2 linked regions of the Anolis sagrei genome follow. The protein of the gene in region 2 interacts with the protein of the main gene of each other region in a pairwise test. Links are inferred from orthologs where the notes say so. Each region holds a gene or a part of one and is shown on either strand. Other genes may lie near its edges. The genes, in order: EDC3 and DCP1A.

Region 1 (7,713 bases), on a different chromosome or scaffold from region 2:
CGGCCACGTTGTCCGGATGCCTGACCACCGTCTCCCAAAGCAGTTGCTCTACTCCGAACTCAAGAACGGAAAACGGAATGCTGGCGGGCAGGAAAAGAGATTGAAATACGGGCTCAAAGCCAACCTGGCATAGACACTGAGAACTGGGAAGCCCTGGCCCTTGAGCGGTTCAGCTGGAGGTCAGATGTGACCAGCAGTGCTGGAGAATCTGAAGAGGCACGAATGGAGGGCGAAGGAGGGAAACGTGCCAAGAGGAAGTCATGTCAAGCCAACCCCGACCGGGACTGCCTTCCACCTGGAAACCAATGCCCTCACTGCGGGAGAAGATGCAGGTCAAGAATAGTCTCCACAGTCACCTATGGACACAACGCCAGGACACCGATCTTGGAGGACCATCATCCTCAGACTACGAGGGATCACCTAAGTAAGTAGCAGTCGACAGATCATGATTTTGGCAATGTTTATTGTTTCCAAATGCCGGCTGAGATCTTTGGGCACGGCACCCAATGAGCCAATGACTACTGGGACCACCTGGACAGGTTGATGCCAGAGCCTTATAATAATATTATAATTATTATAAATATATAATACTAATATAATATCATGCGGTGTGCGGGGCTTGATGAATGCAAAGCTGGAGTGAAAATTGCTGGAAGAAACATTAACAACCTCAGATATGCAGATGACACCACTCTGATGGCCGAAAGCGATGAGGAGCTGAGGAGCCTTCTAATCAAGGTGAAAGAAGAAAGCGCAAAAGCTGGGTTGCAGCTAAACGTAAAAAAAACCAAGATCATGGCAACAAGAATGATTGACAACTGGAAAATAGAGGGAGAAAATGTGGAGGCCGTGACAGACTTTGTATTTCTAGGTGCAAAGATGACTGCAGATGCAGACTGTGGCCAGGAAATCAGAAGACGCTTACTTCTTGGGAGGAGAGCAATGTCCAGTCTCGATAAAATAGTAAAGAGTAGAGACATCAGACTGGCAACAAAGATCCGCCTAGTCAAAGCCATGGTATTCCCTGTAGTAACCTATGGATGTGAGAGCTGGACCTTAGGGAAGGCTGAGCGAAGGAAGATTGATGCTTTTGAACTGTGGTGTTGGAGGAAAGTTCTGAGAGTGCCTTGGACTGCGAGAAGATCCAACTAGTCCATCCTCCAGGAAATAAAGCCAGACTGCTCATTGGAGGGAAGGATACTAGAGACAAAGCTGAAGTACTTTGGCCACATCATGAGGAGACAGCAAAGCCTAGAGAAGACAATGATGCTGGGGAAAGTGGAAGGAAAAAGAAAGAGGGGCCGACCAAGGGCAAGATGGATGGATGGCATCCTTGAAGAGACTGGACTGACCTTGAAGGAGCTGGGGGTGGTGACAGCCGACAGGGAGCTCTGGCGTGGGCTTGTCCGTGAGGTCACGAAGAGTCGGAGACGACTGAACGAATGAACAACAACAATATAATAATATATTATATTATTATAAATATATAATACTAATATAATAATATTTTATATCATTATAAATATATAATATAATAATGTAATATTACATTCTTATAAATGTCTTATATATATATATATAATACATTTATAAGATTGTAATATTACATTATTATATTATATATTGCCTCCCCCATTTAGCCAAAAGTTTGCATTGTCCGTAGTTCATTATATATATATATAAATATAAAATACATTTATAAGATTGTAATATTACTTTATTATATTATATATTGCCTCTCCCATTTAGCCAAAAGTTTGCATTGTTCGTAGTTCATTATATATATATATATATATAATACATTTATAAGATTGTAATATTACATTATTATATTATATATTGCCTCCCCCATTTAGCCAAAAGTTTGCATTGTCCGTAGTTCATTATTATTATTATTATTATTATTATTATATATAATACATTTATAAGATTGTAATATTACATTATTATATTATATATTGCTTGCTTGCATGCTGGTCTTGCGCTGTGCTACTCTGCTGCTGAGTATGCATACCCAGTGTGGAACACATCTCACCACGCTAAAACAGTGGATGTGGCTCTTAATGAGACATGCCACATTATCAAGGGGTGTCTGCGCCCCACACCCCTGGAGAAATTGCACTGCTTAGCCGGTATTGCACCACCTGACATCTGCCGGGAAGTAGCAGCCAATAGTGAAAGGACCAAGGCAGAGACATCTCCAGCTCATCCCTTGTTTGGGTATCAGCCAGCACGCCAACGACTTAAATCTAGACATAGTTTTCTTAGATCTACAGAGACACTCGCTGGAACACCTCAGCAATCGAGAGTCCAAAAGTGGCAGGCTCAAACCCAGCACTTCAACCAATTGCTGATACCAAATGAGAGACCCCCCCCCCCCCCCCGGGCACACAGAAGACTGGGCGACTTGGAAGGCATTGAACAGACCGCGCTCTGGCACCACGAGATGCAGAGCCAACCTTAAGAAATGGGGCTACAAAGTGGAATCCTCGACATGCGAGTGCAGAGAGGAGCAAACCACTGACCACCTGCTGCAATGCAACCTGAGCCCTGCCACATGCACAATGGAGGACCTTCTTGTGGCAACACCAGAAGCACTCCAAGTGACCAGATACTGGTCCAAGGACATTTAACCAACTACCAAACTCACAAGTTGTGTATTTTTCTGTTTGTTTGCTTTGTTCTGTTAGAAATGTAATATAATAGACTGGCTGCTCTGACACGAGAAATAAATAAATAAAATAATATATATTGCCTCCCCCATTTAGCCAAAAGTTTGCAAACTTTTGGCTAAATGGGGGAGGCAGGGGAGGTCACTCAATCTCCTTCCTTTCACAACGAAAGGCCTGGTCCGGCTGGGGCGAGGCCGAGGAGACCCCGGGCGGTCCTTCCCGGGGGAAGGGAGGCCTCCTCCCCGCCCCAAAGGCTCCCAGAAGGGAAGAGAAGGCCCCCAAGCCCTCCCTCGGCCTGCTCCCTACTCTAGGCCGGGGATAAGGCGCCGAGCAGGCCCAAAAGCGGCTCACTCACTCACTGACTCGCTTCTCCCTCCGCTTTTCCTCACAGCGTCTTCACACCGGAAGCGACAAGCCATTGCCCCGCTCTTCTGCGTCACTTCCGCTTCTCCTTCTCTCAGCGCTCACGCAGGCGCAGAAAGGACACGGCACGCCTTTCCTTCTCCAGAGGCGAAGGTGCCACTCGCAGCACGCATGCGCAGAAAGCCTGCTCGGCCCCTGGAAGCGGCTGACTATTGGACTACAACTCCCATCAGCCCCAGCCGTTGCGACCCATGGTGTGGCATCATGGGGGTTGGAGTTCAACGCTTCCTTCTTGGTGTTAGAGGAGTAATAGTCTCTCTACAACCACAGCAACTCCTGAATTGATCTGAAACACCTTGAAAAGTTCCGGAGTCGAGGGCCAATCATCATGATCGATCATGATTACCAGTTATTAATTACTAATTATAATTATATTATAGTGCTTTACTAATAATACAATATAATAGATTGTGTGTGTGTATATATATATATTGTTGTTGTTGTTGTTCATTCGTTCAGTCGTCTCCGACTCTTCGTGACCTCATGGACCAGCCTACGCCAGATCTCCCTGTCGGCCGTTACCACCCCCAGCTCCCTCAAGGTCAGTCCAGTCACTTCAAGGATGCCATCCATCCATCTTGCCCTTGGTCGGCCCCTCTTCCTTTTGCCTTCCACTTTCCCCAGCATCATTGTCTTCTCTAGGCTTTCCTGTCTCCTCATGATGTGGCCAAAGTACTTCAACTTTGTCTCTAGTATCTTTCCCTCCAGTGAGCAGTCGGGCTTGATTTCCTGGAGGATGGACTGGTTGGATCTTCTCGCAGTCCAAGGGACTCTCAGCACTTTCCTCCAACACCACAGCTCAAAAGCATCGATCTTCCTTCGCTCAGCCTTCCCTAAGGTCCAGCTCTCACATCCGTAGGTTACTACAGGGAATACCATGGCTTTGACTAGGCGGATCTTTGTTGCCAGTCTGATGTCTCTACTCTTCACTATTTTATCGAGACTGAACATTGCTCTCCTCCCAAGAAGTAAGCGTCTTCTGATTTCCTGGCTACAGTCTGCATCTGCAGTAATCTTTGCACCTAGAAATACAAAGTCTGTCACGGCCTCCACGGTTTCTCCCTCTATTTTCCAGTTGTCAATCATTCTTGTTGCCATAATCTTGGTTTTTTTGACGTTTAGCTGCAACCCGGCTTTTGCGCTTTCTTCTTTCACCTTGATTAGAAGGCTCCTCAGCTCCTCCTCGCTTTCGGCCATCAGAGTGGTGTCATCTGCATATCTGAGGTTGTTAATGTTTCTTCCAGCAATTTTCACCCCAGCTTTGCATTCATCCAGCCCCGCACATCGCATGATGTGTTCTGCATACAAGTTAAAAAGGTTGGGTGAGAGGATGCAGCCTTGCCGTACGCCTTTCCCAATCTTGAACCAGTCTGTTGTTCCGTGGTCAGTTCTGACTGTTGCTACTTGGTCCTTGTACAGATTCCTCAGGAGAGAGACAAGGTGGCTTGGTATGCCCATCCCACTAAGAACTTGCCACAATTTATTATGATCCACACAGTCAAAGGCTTTAGAATAGTCAATGAAGCAGAAGTAGATGTTTTTCTGAAACTCCCTGCCTTTCTCCATTATCCAGCGGATATTGGCAATCTGGTCTCTGGTTCCTCTGCCTTTTCTAAACCCAGCTTGAACATCTGGCAACTCTCGCTCCATGTATTGCTGGAGTCTTCCTTGCAGGATCTTGAGCATTACCTTACTGGCATGAGAAATAAGGGCCACTGTACGGAAGTTTGAGCAGTCTTTCGCATTTCCCTTTTTTGGTATGGGGATATAAGTTGATTTTTTCCAGTCTGATGGCCATTCTTGTGTTTTCCATATTTGCTGGCAAATGGCATGCATCACCTTGACAGCATCATCTTTTAAGATTTTAAACAGTTCAGCTGGGATCCCGTCGTCTCCTGCTGCCTTGTTGTTAGCAATGCTTCTTAAGGCCCATTCAACCTCACTCCTCAGGATGTCTGGTTCTAATTCATTCACCACACCGTCAAAGCTATCCTCGATATTGTTATCCTTCCTATACAGATCTTCTGTATAGTCTCGCCACCTTCTCTTGATCTCTTCAGCTTCTGTTAGGTCCCTGCCATCTTTGTTTCTTATCATACCAATTTTTGCCTGAAATTTACCTCCAATGTTTCTAATTTTCTGGAAGAGGTCTCTTGTCCTTCCTATTCTGTTGTCTTCTTCCACTTCCATGCACTGCTTATTTAAAAATAGTTCCTTATCTCTTCTGGCTAACCTCTGGAATTGCGCATTTAACTGGGCATATCTCCCCTTTTCACTGTTTCCTTTTGCTTTCCTCCTTTCTTGGGCTACTTCCAGTGTCTCAGCAGACAACCATTTTGCCTTCTTGGTTTTCTTTTTCTTTGGAACGTACTTTGTTGCTGCCTCCTGAACAATGTTGCGGACTTCTGTCCATAGTTCTTCTGGGACTCTGTTTACTAAATCTAGTCCTTCAAATCTGTTCTTCACTTCCACTGTATATTCGCTAGGAATGTTAGTGAGATCATATCTAACTGGTCTGTGTATTTTCCCTGAACTCTTTAGTTTTATTCTAAATTGGGCAATAAGAAGTTCGTGATCTGAGCTACAGTCAGCCCCAGGTCTTGTTTTCACCGACTGGATGGATGTCCGCCACCTTTGACTGCAAAGGATGTAGTCAATCTGATTTCGGTGTTGACCATCTGGTGAGGTCCATGTATAAAGCCGTCTTTTAGGTTGTTGGAAGAGAGTATTTGTTATACACAGCGAGTTTTCCTGGCAAAATTCTATCAACCTGCGTCCCGCTTCATTTTGTTCTCCCAGACCATGCTTGCCTGTGATCCCTGTTGTCATTTGACTTCCCACCTTGGCATTCCAGTCTCCTGTAATGAAAATAATGTCTCTTTTTGGTGTATTATCCAGTAGTTCCTGCAGATCCTCATAGAACTGATCTACTTCTGCTTCTTCAGCAGCTGTGGTTGGGGCGTATATTTGGATCACTGTGATGTTGAAAGGCTTTCCTTGCACTCGAATTGAGATCATTCTGTCATTTTTTGGGTTGTATCCAAGCACCGCTTTAGCGAATTTCTTATTAATTATGAAGGCTACTCCATTTCTTCGATGTTCCTCTTGTCCGCAGTAGTAGATCTGGTGGTCATCTGATGTGAAGTGGCCCATTCCAGTCCATTTCAGTTCGCTGACCCCCAGAATGTCTATCTTTAGTCTTGACATCTCACCAATAACAACATCCAATTTGCCCTGGCTCATAGATCTTACATTCCAGGTTCCTATGGTGTGTTGATCTTTAGAGCATCGGATTCGTCGTTCACCTCCAGTACCGTCGGCCGCTAGCCTTCCTTTCGGCTTTGAGCTAGCTGCGTCATCACATCTGGGGCTACTTGAACTTATCCTCTGCTCCTCCCCAGTAGCATTTTGGCCATCTTCCGACCTGGGAGTCCCATCTTCCAATGGCATACCGACATATCTCTGGTTGTACTGGTCCATTTAGTTTTCTTGGCAAGGATACTGGGGTGGTTTGCCGTTGCCTTCCCCAGGGATCACGCTTGGTCTGACCTCTCTGCCACGACCGTCCCGTCTTGGGTGGCCCTTCACGGTTTCACTCATGACATCATTGAGGTGCTCAAGCTCCAGCGCCCCGACAAGGCGGTGATCCTTTGCTGGAGATATATATATATATATATATAATATTAAAGCACTTTAATATAATTATAATTAATAATTATTAATATTATATTGTATTACATTATAATATTATAAACATTATATGTATATACAATATATTACATTATTAGTAAAGCACTTTAATATAATTATAATATATAATATAACTAATATTAGTACTGTATTGTATTACATTATAATATTATAAATATTATATATATATATATATATATAATATTTATAATATTATAATGTAATACAATACAGTACTAATATTAGTTATATTATATATTATAATTATATTAAAGTGCTTTACTAATAATGTAATATATTGTATATACATATAATGTTTATAATATTATAATGTAATACAATATAATATTAATAATTATTAATTATAATTATATTAAAGTGCTTTACTAATAATATAATATACTGGATATGCATATAATATTTATAATATAATGTAATACAATATAATACTAATAATTACTAATTATAATTATATTAAAGTGCTTTACTAATAATGTAATATATTGTATATACATATAATTTTATAATATAATGTAATACAATATAATACTAATAATTACTAATTATAATTATATTAAAGTGCTTTACTAATAATGTAATATATTGTATATACATATTTTATAATATGATAATGTAATACAATATAATACTAATAATTACTAATTATAATTATATTAAAGTGCATTATTAATAATAATATATAATATATTGTGTATACATATAATATTTATAATATTATAATGTAATACAATATAATACTAATAATTATTAATTATAATTATATTAAAGTGCTTTACTAATAATATAATATATTGTATATACATATACTATTTATTATACAATACAATACAATATAATAATAATACATTATTATATTTTATATTACATGTAAAATTACTAATAATATTACAATATAATGGTATAGTAC
Region 2 (7,323 bases):
TCAGGACTAGTGCAGGTTATGGTGTTTTATCCATGACCACTAGAAATGATGGGACACCACCTTCTGAGTTGGTCCTAACATGATGAACAGAAAGAAGAGATAGCTGTATCCTAAGGATGTAAAAAGTCTATGAAATCTACCTGGAAACACTAATAATCTTCTGCTTGACTATTACATTGCTTCTTGTTTTTCTCTGTACTTTAGAGCAAACATTTTTGCATGCAGAGGTTATAGCACACTATTAAATCTTCCTTTGTAACGAAAGGTATCCAAAGAGCAGGAGATAGTATTTGTTTCTTTTGTGGGGAGTTGTAACACATAGCATCACACTTCTATGGGGGGTCCTGGAACCAAACCTAAACAGATACTTCTGTTGGGGTCCTAGAACCAAACCTAAGCTCTCTTGCACTCCTTCTAAAACTGTGGTCTCTTCTTGGTTCAATGTTGGGTGCAACAAAAAAAATTGCAACAGTAAAAGGTTTCTGAACACTATCTATTTACACAAATCAGTTAGGAACAACATGAAGTGTTTACTTCCCAGAAAACACTCCAGAAAACAAATCAGCCTATTTAGCAAGTCTTGCAAATGTTGATTTATTACCAGTAAATGTGTGATTTTTATACCTATTTAATGTACCTATATACCCAGGATCATGTAAAAATTTCTCAAGTGGAAAAGGGTTGCAGGAAGAAAAAGTATAAGAAGCCCTGATCTACTGTACACCTATTGGATCTCAGGGGAAAGATAATAATAATGATGATAATAATATTTTTATTTGATAGCCACCTCTCCTCATGGCTGAAAGCAGGTACAACACAGCTAAAACACACTACTATAAAATACATACATCGTCTGGATTACTGTAATGCACTCTACGTGGGGCTGCCTCTGAAGAGGGCTCAGAAACTTCATCTGGTCCACAGAGCTGCAGACATGTTGTTCACTGGGGCTAGCTACAGGAAGCAGACAATCCTATTGTTTAAACAGCTCCACTGGCTGCCAGTCTGTTACCAGATAGAATTCGAAGTGCTGGTTATGACCTTTAAAGTCTTAGACATGTGATTCCCAACCTGTGGCCTGTGGACCACCAGTGGTCTGAAAGAACTAAACTATGGTTCACAGCCTCACTGTTACTACACCATTGCAACAAGAGTGACTGGTCTTGGAAAACTCTCTTATAGTGCTGAGGCTTATTAAATATGGTTTTCTGTGGGTGAGCAGATGGTGACTACTGGATGGCATATGTTCTGTATCAGAAACTAGAGTTGATGTGATCCATCCAATGCAATTTTCTGAATAAGCATCCCAAATAACCAAACCAGATGTAATATTGACCAAAAACGGATTCATAACCCTTCTGGTACTAATGTTGGTGCATGGTCGCTGGTCGAAAAAAAAAAAGGTGTGGAACGACTGCCCTAGACAGTTCAAGTCCAGGCTATTTGGTCAACCACATCCACTTGTATGAGCCTACCCGGGCGAAGTCCTTCTCTTGGTCCTACCGCCATCTCAAGTTAAGTTATTGGGAATGAGAGAGTGGGCCTTCCTTCTCGGTAGCTGCCCTGCGACTCTGAAACTCCCTGCCCAGGGAAGCAAGAATGGCCCCCTCCTGCTACCCTTCAGGTGGCATGCTAAAACCTTTTTATTCAGGCAGGCATTTAAAGAAGAAGGTTTTAAAGATTATCAGGGACCACTGTGATTTTATATGTTTTAAATGATGTTTAATCCTGTTTTAATACGTGTATATTTTAACGCTTTTAGTTGTGAGCCACTTTGAGTCTCCGTATGGAGAGAAAAAAGCAGGATATAAATAAACAGACTTTTAAAGATGAAGGTGTCCAAGAACTAGTCAGGGGGTTCTGTGCTTTTGAACTGTTTTGATGGATTTTAACTGCGATTTTTTTCAAATGCTGCTGATGTTTAATTCTATTGAATGCTTGCAATCTTGTTTATTTTAAATGGTATATTAATGTTTTTAGGTCAAGCTGCCTTGAGTCCCCTTTGGGGAGATAAAGTGGGGTATAAATAAATATATTGCAGGTTCAAATCTGGAGAGCGGCGTGAGCACCTTGCTGTTCGCCCCAGCTTCCACCAACCTAACAGTTTGAAAACATGTGAATGTGAGAAGATAAATAAGTACTGCTCCAGTGGTAAGGTAGTGGCGCATCTTCCAGTCATGCCAGCCACATGACCTTGGAAGTGTCTACGAACAACGGTGGTTGTTTGGCTTAGAAATGGAGATGTGTTGGACATGACTGGACTTAATGTCAGGGGAAAACCTTTAACCTAAATAAATATAAATCAAACTACAAGAAAGGAGATTCCACCTGAACATTGGGATGAACTTCCTGACTGTGAGAGCTGTTCAGGGGGGGACCTCTCTGCCCCGGAGTGTGGTGGAGGCTCCTTCTATGGAGGCCTTTAAACAGAGGCTGGATGGCCATCTGTCGGGGGTGCTTTGAACGCAATTGTCCTGCTTCTTGTCAGGGGGCTGGATTGGATGGCCCACGAAGTCTCTTCCAACTCTATGATTCAATAATAATAATACCCTAAAATATTTACATTGAAAAACACGGCCACAAAATATCTGTATTACAATTCACGGTGCAAGAGTGATAAACATACAATAGAAATAGAAGGTGAATATAAAACTCACAAGACAAGGAGCAAACAGGAGCTACTAGCGCAGGCCTGGGCCAACTTGGGCCTTCTAGGTGTTTTGGACTCCAACTCCCACCATTCCTAACAGCCTCAGGCCCTTTCCTTTTCCCCCTCAGCCGCTTATGGTGGGAGTTGGAGTCCAAAACACTTGGAAGGCCCAAGTTGGCCCAGGCCTGCGCTAAGAGCAGCAGCAGCAGCTTCTGTGGGAACTCCGAAAGGTGGGCGTGTTTCTGCGAATGGCCGCCAAAGGGGCCGGGGCCCTTCTCCTTCCCTCCCAGCGAGCGGGGCCCCGTGGACTCACCCACTCGTTGTCCTTGGGGCTGAAGCGGTAGAGGGCCACCTGGCCGGTCACGTCGGCGATGCTGGTGATGTAGGGGTCGTGCTGCTTTAAGGCCGCCAGGCTCATCTCCTGCCCCGCTTGACTCAGAGACGCCATCTTGGATCCGGGACCTCGGCCGCGGCGGGGAAGGGAAGGAGGGGAGGCCCAGGGAGCGTCACCCGCACTGGTCCGTCCCTCTCTAGCCGCCGGTCGGAAACCGCCTTCGCCCGGCTTTGCGTTCCACTCTGCTGCGCCTCTCTAACCCGTCCTTGGTGTTTCTCTCAACTGAACTAATTCCAGAAGGGAATGGGCAACGCCGGGAAAGAAACCCAAATGAATGTATTTCCGCAGCTCTGACTGCTATTTAACGATTGCCGCGACGGAAACTGTTTCACCTAGAAATACATTTCCGGCTCTTCAGTGTTTGGGGTGGCACGTGATGGAGTTTTCTGTAAAAATTGGGACCCAATGAGGTTTAATGTCAAAGAGGTTTCTGGAGTTGTGGGTCATATATGCCCAGGTATGATTGCACACACACACATACACATAAAGGAGGTTTAATTTTAACGTTTTTGGGGTTGTGTGTCATATGTGCATGTATGTTTGCACATTGTGGGATTAACATAATCCCACAAACTCTGCTGGTACAGCTGTACCAGGAGCTCCAATTTTGTTTGCTTTGCACTGAATGTTTGCTGTAGTCCTAAGTTTCAGGGACTCTGCAGATAGGTGGCTTCTTTTGGCTGCAATCATAGGGCAAGCCACCTGTCAATTATAGTTAGGTTCCCTGGTCCCGCCCCCTTTTGGGTTTTTGGGAGGGAATAGGAGCCAGTTTTGGGTCAGTCCACACAGAGAAGCCTTCCATGTAGGACATAATACCAAGAGCTCCTGTAGAAAGCTTCGTCTTCTACGGCTTGGCCGGGGAGATATACAGCTCACAGCTTGGCCGGGGTTATACAGCCCTACAGTTCCTTTGCTGAAGGACTTCAGTTAGCCATCACGGAAACCTGAGTTCTTTTCCCCTGGAAGTCTACAAAGCTCTGCTTGGTAAGGGTCACTTGCGGAAGCCAGAAGCAGTTGGTACCGGGTGCAGGGGCTCCACGCCAACAGAGGCAAAGATAGACTGCCCAGATTAGAAGTTAAGGATTTCCCCATTAGTTACAGTTATGAATATAGTGCCTGTTCCCTGTGGACAAGATTGAGAGAGAGCCAATAGACTGTTAAGAAAGCCTTAAAGTACCTGTTTGTTTTCATTAATAAAGAACTTGGTTGAACCTTTAAGCAATCTAAAGACTCTGTTTTAAGAAAATCCAAAGGCCTTTAATCTGAGGCAGCCCCGGCATCCCGTTGGGCACACAGAATTTATGTCCTGTCTACAGTCTGATGCACAGGCCCAGGCGACAGCACACAAACCACTGGGTGAATTGACACCAGATTTGGACACAATACACCTATTATTATTATTATTATTATTATTATTATTACGGTTGCTTATACCCCGCCCTTCTCACCCGGGGGGACTCAGGGCGGCTTACACAAACAAGGCACAATTCGATGCCTGTATTACAAAAACATAACATCAGGCCAACGAGTGACCATCACTCATAAAAACACTGAAAAACACAGCAGAAGAGACTTCAAAAGCAAAAAAAAAGCCTCCACAAAAAATATATTACAACGCACGCGCAAAACCACATATATACCCAAACACACATATACACACAGTCCCCGAAGGGGGACTCAGGATGGCTTACATTGGCAACAATTCGATGCCATAAATACAAACAAACAACAATATAGCAATAGTTTAAAACAATAAATAAATCATTTGGTTAAAAGCAGTTAAAACATTTGTCAACACCATGAAGTCAGTCAGTTTCTTCTCCCTTCACCCCAACCCTTACTTATTTGTATGTACTGCATTTGCAATATAGGTTGCTGTATGAACTGCATCTGCAGCTTCTCCAGGACCCTGGAGACCAAATGACACTGTTTTTGTGACCTTGGAGGTGATATTCTCATCACTGGCGGCAGAGTTTTCCAAAATGTTGAGGAACAATGAGAAATAAATCTAAGCCTTCTTGAGCTTCATGTGGTCAAAGCTGCCGAATTCCTGCCTCTGATAGAGTATTTTCTTCTTCAGTTCTCTAATATGAATTTTGAATTTGAGTAGAGTGTATGTTCTTAAATGGGTTACCCCATGCCTCCCCACCCCGATTCTGTATCATTAGCTGATATTCTTATATGGTGGGTACCTTTTCCAGTAATCTCTTATGGAAAGAAATATGAATGACTGGGCGGGCACAGACTATACTAAATATATGGTGATGGAGTGGTGCCCAGTGCAGTGCTCTTAATAAGGCACTGGGGAACCACTTCACAAAAAAGCACTCTTTGGATAGAGAGAGTTATCACTTAATTAAACAGTAATGTTTGCTTGGGAGGTATCCAAAGCAGTTGACAGATGAGATCCAAAACCTTACCGTGGACTTTTTGTCTCATTTGATAACATACCAAATTTCATGACATTGGGATAAAATACTTAATTTCTATGTATGTAGTATAAAAGATGGATAAACATTGTGTGTATTGAGTCCAAATGTTTCCTTTTTTTCCCTGGAAACTTGGCAGACACCAGCAACCAATGGCTCTGGGACCACCTTTGGTCCTGGCACTGCCACTCTGAAGTAGAACTGGTTTAGAGCATTGTTTCTTAAACCCTGGGTCCTAATCCCAAATATATGGGCTTATTCTAAAGAAACATTACATTATAATATAGACATTGTTTTACAATAAAAATAATATTATAAGCATATATATTATTATATTTTAAATCTGTTTAAGCAACAAAAAATATCCAGCCTAATAACATTTCTAATATACAATATAATGACATTATAATTGCATTATGTAGTATAATGTAATATAAAAGCACATTGCAAGCAGAACTAATTATATTAGTTCAAGAATTTAATGTAAGAATCATTCTGCTTTGTAATACAATACAACTCCTGTATCAGTGAGGAATGTGTTCCTAAAATTTGCAGGGGAAACAGGAAACCATGGATAATAGCTAACCCTATTGAAATAAATAACTTCTTACTAGTATAGAACCTCCCTTGAGGACCTCGAAAATGTCTAAAGAGGTATCCTCTAGGAATTTGCTAGATCGTCCAATACCATTATGTAATTACATCTGGAGGGTCCCTTGGTGGCACAGCGGGTTAAACCGCTGAGCTGCTGAACTTGCTGACTGAAAGGTCAGCAGTTCGAATCCAGAGAGCAAGGTAAGCTCCCATTGTTAGGCCCAGCTTCTGCCAACCTAGCAGTTCGAAAACATGCAAATGCAAGTAGATCAATAGGTATCGCTTCGGCAGCAAGGTAACAGCGCTCCATGTAGTCATGCTGGCCACATGCCTAGGAGGTATCTACAGACAATGCTGGCTTTTCAGAGATGAGCACCGCCCCCTAGAATCAGATACAACTAGACTCAATGTCAAGGGAAACCTTTACCTTAATAACTTCTGGTATAAGCACACCACAGAATTTCTAGAAAGGATATATTTTGTTGGAGGTGGACAAGTCCTGCAGGCATGGGAGCCATGCTTTATTTTAGAAGTTCTTTTTTCACAGATCCGATAGCAATCACACCCTATTTACACTGAACAAAATGTGTGTAATAACTTATGAAACCTGTTTATGATATAGAACAACTGTTTTATGTAGTTATACTAGCCTTTCCCAGCTTGGTAGCCTTTTGAATTGTTGAATTGCATCTCCCATCACCTTTGACCAATGCCTATGCTCTCTGAGGCTTTTGGGAAATTTAAATTAAAGCACTTGGAGAGCACCAGATTGGGGGAGACAGAAGCGTGTTCTTTCTGCTATTTTGTCTTTTAAGTGTAGATACCTCCAGGCCTCTCAGGCAGAACAGGGAGACTAATGCAAATCGATAGGCTGTTTGTTCTTTCTTCCGAAGCTGGTGAAATCCTTTAGGAAATTATATGGAAAAGGAAGCATTAAAGGAACTATGAATAATTGAAACCATGTAATCTAATGAAGTACAAGTATAACAGCATAAAAGAAACATTTACTCTACTGGAGTGTTCCCTATAGTTATGAATTTAACTTTCTTTCACCCATTTAAGGTGAAGCGAATAGATAGGAAATGCTCATTGTAAAAAAAAAGAAAGAAAGAAAGAAAGAAAAGGCTGTAAACCACAGCAGTGATCCTAAAAGGACAGATGCCGTGGATCGCTAATTTTAATCCTTCTGTTCTTCTCACAACAGCAATGGGAAAGGTTGAAATAGGTCAAAAGTAGCCCTCCTTACATTGCTCAAG

What was found.
Region 1: the proteins of DCP1A (region 2) and EDC3 interact in binary tests that used the Homo sapiens proteins (3 or more experiments, as listed by UniProt). The two-hybrid records come from large-scale screens. The link is inferred for Anolis sagrei from reciprocal best matches to the Homo sapiens genes DCP1A and EDC3.

The regions. Positions count from the first base shown.
Region 1 is NC_090029.1:21,437,478-21,445,190, reverse strand, and holds the start of EDC3 (enhancer of mRNA-decapping protein 3), read right to left. Parts: upstream 3,130-7,713; 5' UTR 3,092-3,129; coding exon 3,028-3,091; intron 1-3,027. UniProt on the Homo sapiens protein: Binds single-stranded RNA. Involved in the process of mRNA degradation and in the positive regulation of mRNA decapping. May play a role in spermiogenesis and oogenesis.
Region 2 is NC_090022.1:60,979,351-60,986,673, reverse strand, and holds the start of DCP1A (mRNA-decapping enzyme 1A), read right to left. Parts: upstream 3,146-7,323; 5' UTR 3,099-3,145; coding exon 2,964-3,098; intron 1-2,963. UniProt on the Homo sapiens protein: Necessary for the degradation of mRNAs, both in normal mRNA turnover and in nonsense-mediated mRNA decay. Removes the 7-methyl guanine cap structure from mRNA molecules, yielding a 5'-phosphorylated mRNA fragment and 7m-GDP.